2 linked regions of the Caenorhabditis elegans genome follow. The protein of the gene in region 2 interacts with the protein of the main gene of each other region in a biochemical or structural test. Each region holds a gene or a part of one and is shown on either strand. Other genes may lie near its edges.

The links. The genes of interacting proteins can lie anywhere in the genome.
Region 1: of the proteins of lin-14 (region 2) and ced-3, one has a biochemical effect on the other in vitro, tested with the Caenorhabditis elegans proteins (one study listed by BioGRID).

The regions. Positions count from the first base shown.
Region 1 is NC_003282.8:13,202,391-13,206,146, reverse strand, and holds the start of ced-3 (Cell death protein 3 subunit p17), read left to right. Parts: upstream 1-2,009; 5' UTR 2,010-2,080; coding exon 2,081-2,215; intron 2,216-2,278; coding exon 2,279-2,424; intron 2,425-2,702; coding exon 2,703-2,956; intron 2,957-3,756.
Region 2 is NC_003284.9:11,463,525-11,467,280, forward strand, and holds the start of lin-14 (Protein lin-14), read left to right. Parts: upstream 1-2,035; 5' UTR 2,036-2,143; intron 2,144-3,651; exon of another isoform or gene 3,652-3,756. UniProt on the Caenorhabditis elegans protein: Heterochronic protein which controls the choice of stage specific cell fates. Involved in the temporal progression of vulval fate patterning, possibly by inhibiting lin-12.

The sequences.
Region 1 (3,756 bases), on a different chromosome or scaffold from region 2:
TTCATGCTCATCCTCGAGCGGCAGCGTCTCAAAGAATTGTGAGAGCAAACGCGCTCCATTGACCTCCACACTCAGCCGCCAAAAACAAACGTTCGAACATTCGTGTGTTGTGCCTCCTTTTCCGTTATCTTGCAGTCATCTTTTGTCGTTTTTTTCTTTGTTCTTTTTGTTGAACGTGTTGCTAAGCAATTATTACATCAATTGAAGAAAAGGCTCGCCGATTTATTGTTGCCAGAAAGATTCTGAGATTCTCGAAGTCGATTTTATAATATTTAACCTTGGTTTTTGCATTGTTTCGTTTAAAAAAACCACTGTTTATGTGAAAAACGATTAGTTTACTAATAAAACTACTTTTAAACCTTTACCTTTACCTCACCGCTCCGTGTTCATGGCTCATAGATTTTCGATACTCAAATCCAAAAATAAATTTACGAGGGCAATTAATGTGAAACAAAAACAATCCTAAGATTTCCACATGTTTGACCTCTCCGGCACCTTCTTCCTTAGCCCCACCACTCCATCACCTCTTTGGCGGTGTTCTTCGAAACCCACTTAGGAAAGCAGTGTGTATCTCATTTGGTATGCTCTTTTCGATTTTATAGCTCTTTGTCGCAATTTCAATGCTTTAAACAATCCAAATCGCATTATATTTGTGCATGGAGGCAAATGACGGGGTTGGAATCTTAGATGAGATCAGGAGCTTTCAGGGTAAACGCCCGGTTCATTTTGTACCACATTTCATCATTTTCCTGTCGTCCTTGGTATCCTCAACTTGTCCCGGTTTTGTTTTCGGTACACTCTTCCGTGATGCCACCTGCTCCGTCTCAATTATCGTTTAGAAATGTGAACTGTCCAGATGGGTGACTCATATTGCTGCTGCTACAATCCACTTTCTTTTCTCATCGGCATGCTTACGAGCCCATCATAAACTTTTTTTTCCGCGAAATTTGCAATAAACCGGCCAAAAACTTTCTCCAAATTGTTACGCAATATATACAATCCATAAGAATATCTTCTCAATGTTTATGATTTCTTCGCAGCACTTTCTCTTCGTGTGCTAACATCTTATTTTTATAATATTTCCGCTAAAATTCCGATTTTTGAGTATTAATTTATCGTAAAATTATCATAATAGCACCGAAAACTACAAAAAATGGTAAAGTCTTTTAAATCGGCTCGACATTATCGTATTAAGGAATCACAAAATTCTGAGAATGCGTACTGCGCAACATATTTGACGCGCAAAATATCTCGTAGCGAAAACTACAGTAATTCTTTAAATGACTACTGTAGCGCTTGTGTCGATTTACGGGCTCAATTTTTGAAAATAATTTTTTTTTTCGAATTTTGACAACCCGTAAATCGTCACAAGCGCTACGGTAGTCATTTAAAGGATTACTGTAGTTCTAGCTACGAGATATTTTGCGCGCCAAATATGATGCGTAATACGCATTCTCTGAATTTTGTGTTTCCGTAATAATTTCACAAGATTTTGGCATTCCTCTTTAAAGGCGCACGGATTTATTCCAATGGGTCTCGGCACGCAAAAAGTTTGATAGACTTTTAAATTCTCCTTGCATTTTTAATTCAATTACTAAAATTTTCGTGAATTTTTCTGTTAAAATTTTTAAAATCAGTTTTCTAATATTTTCCAGGCTGACAAACAGAAACAAAAACACAACAAACATTTTAAAAATCAGTTTTCAAATTAAAAATAACGATTTCTCATTGAAAATTGTGTTTTATGTTTGCGAAAATAAAAGAGAACTGATTCAAAACAATTTTAACAAAAAAAAACCCCAAAATTCGCCAGAAATCAAGATAAAAAATTCAAGAGGGTCAAAATTTTCCGATTTTACTGACTTTCACCTTTTTTTTCGTAGTTCAGTGCAGTTGTTGGAGTTTTTGACGAAAACTAGGAAAAAAATCGATAAAAATTACTCAAATCGAGCTGAATTTTGAGGACAATGTTTAAAAAAAAACACTATTTTTCCAATAATTTCACTCATTTTCAGACTAAATCGAAAATCAAATCGTACTCTGACTACGGGTCAGTAGAGAGGTCAACCATCAGCCGAAGATGATGCGTCAAGATAGAAGGAGCTTGCTAGAGAGGAACATTATGATGTTCTCTAGTCATCTAAAAGTCGATGAAATTCTCGAAGTTCTCATCGCAAAACAAGTGTTGAATAGTGATAATGGAGATATGATTAATGTGAGTTTTTAATCGAATAATAATTTTAAAAAAAAATTGATAATATAAAGAATATTTTTGCAGTCATGTGGAACGGTTCGCGAGAAGAGACGGGAGATCGTGAAAGCAGTGCAACGACGGGGAGATGTGGCGTTCGACGCGTTTTATGATGCTCTTCGCTCTACGGGACACGAAGGACTTGCTGAAGTTCTTGAACCTCTCGCCAGATCGTAGGTTTTTAAAGTTCGGCGCAAAAGCAAGGGTCTCACGGAAAAAGAGGCGGATCGTAATTTTGCAACCCACCGGCACGGTTTTTTCCTCCGAAAATCGGAAATTATGCACTTTCCCAAATATTTGAAGTGAAATATATTTTATTTACTGAAAGCTCGAGTGATTATTTATTTTTTAACACTAATTTTCGTGGCGCAAAAGGCCATTTTGTAGATTTGCCGAAAATACTTGTCACACACACACACACACATCTCCTTCAAATATCCCTTTTTTCCAGTGTTGACTCGAATGCTGTCGAATTCGAGTGTCCAATGTCACCGGCAAGCCATCGTCGGAGCCGCGCATTGAGCCCCGCCGGCTACACTTCACCGACCCGAGTTCACCGTGACAGCGTCTCTTCAGTGTCATCATTCACTTCTTATCAGGATATCTACTCAAGAGCAAGATCTCGTTCTCGATCGCGTGCACTTCATTCATCGGATCGACACAATTATTCATCTCCTCCAGTCAACGCATTTCCCAGCCAACCTTGTATGTTGATGCGAACACTAAATTCTGAGAATGCGCATTACTCAACATATTTGACGCGCAAAATATCTCGTAGCGAAAAATACAGTAACCCTTTAAATGACTATTGTAGTGTCGATTTACGGGCTCGATTTTCGAAACGAATATATGCTCGAATTGTGACAACGAATTTTAATTTGTCATTTTTGTGTTTTCTTTTGATATTTTTGATCAATTAATAAATTATTTCCGTAAACAGACACCAGCGCTACAGTACTCTTTTAAAGAGTTACAGTAGTTTTCGCTTCAAGATATTTTGAAAAGAATTTTAAACATTTTGAAAAAAAATCATCTAACATGTGCCAAAACGCTTTTTTCAAGTTTCGCAGATTTTTTGATTTTTTTCATTCAAGATATGCTTATTAACACATATAATTATCATTAATGTGAATATCTTGTAGAAATTTTGGTTTTCGTTCTAGTATGCTCTACTTTTGAAATTGCTCAACGAAAAAATCATGTGGTTGTTCATATGATGACGAAAAATGCATTTTTTATATATTTTCCCCTATTCATGTGTGCAGAAAAATGTAAAAAAGCGCATGCATTTTTCGACATTTTTTACATCGAACGACAGCTCACTTCACATGCTGAAGACGAGAGACGCGGAGAAATACCACACATCTTTCTGCGTCTCTCGTCTTCAGCATGTGAAATGGGATGTCGGTCGATGTAAAAAAATGTCGAATAATGTAAAAAATGCATGCGTTTTTTTACACTTTTCTGCACAAATGAATAGGGGGAAAATGTATTAAAATACATTT
Region 2 (3,756 bases):
GCATTTTCATTCAAATTGAAGTCTTGATTTCAATATGCAATCAGCATTGAAACAGCTGACCGCGTTGGGCGCGTGAGGTTTTAAATGAGGAAAACAGACAGAAAAATGTACGTCAAAAAGTCGATTTTTGAGAGCACCCAATTGAACACAGACAGATATCGAAACATACCAAGAGTGTAATGAATTGGCAATGCAAAACGGATTACAAAGTGTTGCGACAGACGGTGATGGATACCGATTGCACAATTTCTATGGCGCGAGAAGGGGGGGGCTCATGATGAACGGCTTGCGGGAGATGGACAACTGTTCTTTTTCCTTCATCTTCCAGAAAAAGTACATCTGTGTGGGTTTGTGAGAACATCTATCTCCTCATCATTGAGCATTTGGAGCTTTCCATTCGGTGACTGGTCGTTCTTCTGCTGCCGTGTCTCTAACTTCTCGATTCGCAGCCACTTTTTCGTTTCGATTATTTATATTTTTCCAATCTACAGCTTCATATTGTTTAACACATTCTCAAATCTTTCCCGCCTTATCAGGCCTCGTTGCGCTTTCGGTTCGTCGTCTCGTTCACGGACAACCTATCATCACACAAGCCGTGCCCAGAGACGTAAAAAGATGAAGCGAGTTTCAATTAATATTATTATTTGCAATCATATTTTCTTTCCACCCTTTTCCGAATTTTGCCAGGTTCCAACGCAGTAGTGTACGCTAAAAAGTGCGTGAGAGAGAAATAGAATGAGAGTTGAGAAGACTGTTTAAAGCGAGAATTCTTATCAGTAGTTTTTGATTCAAATTTGGTGTGTTACATTTTCCCGCACCGATAAGTGCATTGTGCTTATGAATGCCGAAGGAATATTGAACTAAAGTGTGAAATGCGGAATCAAACGGCCTTTTTCGCATTTTTCTTATCGGCCCCTTATTGCGAGTCACTTCAAAATGTAGGAAATGAAGGAACTAGTGCAAATGTTCATCATCACATGGTTGCACACACAAAAGAAAACGGGTGAGAGGCAGACAAAAATAAATGGTCCTGTTTCTTGTCGTCCCCATCTCCGTTTCTTTCTTCTCATCTCCAAATGACTTCTCTAGACTTTCTAGGACTCCTCAGCCTCAGTGCACATGCACATTTTTATTTTCTTTTTTCCTGGACTTTTCTCCAACCCTCCTCATCATCATCATTGTTTTCTATCTTTCTTCACACGTCCCGCTCCCACTGACAAATGTTCTTTGGAGAAGGATCTCTTCGAGAAAAGTGCGCCTAGAGAACAAATTCCATGAAGGCAAATAAAACCGAATGTGTAATGAAGAATGTTTCAAAATAGGGAATTGCCTAGAGAAAAATGTGCGAATCTCAAATTCAACAATCGGAAGAGTGGAACTGCTAACCATTTGCCCTTGAGAACAGGGGAGTACGGTAGTTTGAACACAAGAAGATATTTCGGATATTAGAAGAATACTTGTGTTGACCATGGGTTTTGTTTCCTATAAAAAATGTTGTCCTAAAATCCTGAGCATCCCTGGAGACTCGGAGGACGGACCACTCGGAAAAAAGTGCTCAATTTTTTGTCTCTTTTTTGAATGTATTTTCATGTGTGTGTTTCTTTTTTTTTCTCAGTGACGAATGGGAAGAAATAACCGCCGAAACTCAACATCGTGCCGATTGAGGTTGATCGGGGCAGGCTGAGAAGAAGAAAAAGAATCGGAGAGGGGAGCGGCGGCAAAAGAAGCGACTGTCGTTTTTGTGTCTATCACCTCCTGATCTAGCATGATGTTTCAACCATGCCCGCCGATCCGTTCTATATGTTCTTTCTTTTTTATTCACAAGGAGGCGCAGGCATGGGTGGCGTAAAATAGTACTGGCAAACGGGGAGAGTCGGAGGAACCTCGTTGTATTTTCTCAAATTCTCCCCGAATTCAGCATAGGCTTCGGGCGCTGGGAGGTCTCTACGTCTCTTCAGTTCATTGTATGTTTGGCAAATAGCAATATATCTCTGCAGGGGAGTGCGTCTCGTCGTCAAGCGCCTCTCTCCGCTTCTATCGAAGTACCGCGTTCGTGCGCTTTCTGCAGTTAGTCGTCTATTCCACGCTGGTGTCCGCCGGGCATTCTTCCATTCCCAGATCTGACAAATCTGCAATTTTTTTGGTAAGTAATGTTTTCTCAAATTAAGCTAGATTTGATTACGGTATTATGCGTCTCTCAAAAGTAAAAAATCACTCGAACACCTAGGTTTAACTTGAAAAAACGTCTAGGTAACAAAAAACAACTGGAAAAACTTTAAATGTCAAATTTGAAGTGGTTTATAAAAATGTTCTTATCAATATAGTGATTCGGATAAAAACTGAAAAAATGGAATGAAAAAGGAAATCCGTGCTATACGACGAACATGATCTAGTTTTTCTTTGCCCTTCTTTTCTCTCACTCACATGATTCTCAGTTGACACTAGCGAATTCGAATTCGAATATCGAATTCAAATTGTTTTTCCTCCGTCTGCCGATTTTGTTTTTCTCGTTCACTCGATGTGCACCCAATTACATTTCATCTTATTTTTTTTCTTTTCAAGCACATTCTTGTTGTACAATTTGCCTAATAACTTTTCAGTCCCTAATTCTGAAGACAGAAAGTGATAAACTACTAATAAAGTTGGTGGGCAAAGCAAATAATAAGTTTGTAAAATGTTGGCTATTGTCTGTCAAGAACATGCTTTTATCAGTATTTTTATACTGACCATTCTGTCCATCTCATAAGAGTTCAGTTCTAGTGCGCTCGCGGAAAAATTATCATTCCCGTACCGATCGTTAACTGCCACCGAGTTTTGTCGTGCCATGCTCATCGTGTTACGTTTGCAATTATTTTTTGGCTTTGAAAAATATCCATTTCTAAATTTTCATTCACAGCCAACCCATTTACGCACTTTCTTGACCTGATGTTTTTTTTTTCTCTGTCCAAAAAGTACAGTTTTCGAATTGAAAGTCTATATTGGCGAGCTATGGTCATTTTAAGTTAGTTGTGTTCGTTCATCTCCGTCACCTACCACATTTTTTTCGTTGGTAGTTCTATTGACAAACTTCCCTAGCTAAACAAATAAGGTCCACAAAATCGTTCGGACAACTCGAGAACATAGGAAATGTTGCGATTGGTAAAAGAACAACGCGAGTTTCTTTTTTGTTGTATTTTCTAATCTTCGTCTCTCCGTCTAAATCTATTTATAGTTCCGCAGGATTTTTCTATACTTCCTGTAAAAGAAACACATTTTACTCATTTAAAGATATTTATTTGCTTTTAGTTCATCGTAGAGTTTCCAATTTGTCAATAGATGTTTCTTATTCAAAACAAAAACTTTTTTTTTTCCGAAAAATGTGATACAATAGTTTTTTAGGTATAAATTTTAGTATAACTTTTAGCTTTCAATCGAACAAATGTGACATTCTCAACCATACATATTAAATTTTTATCGTTTCGGCACAGCACTTTAGGTGTACTTACAATCAGGCGTCTTCATGACGATTAAATGTTCTAATGTTAATGACACATCACTCCGCTTCAAATTTTTTTGTTGAAGATTTTATCACTAATTCCTAAAAAAGTCAGTTGTGTCAATCCTTTTTGCGGACGAATAGCACCTGTCAACGCTGTTCTTTCCATTAGTTCACGAGGCCTTACTTACACGTTTCGTTTTAAATTCGATGTTGCTTCCCAAGCCATTTTCAAAACCTGGTCATGTTCAATGGCAGGTCTCTATGCCACCCATTTATTT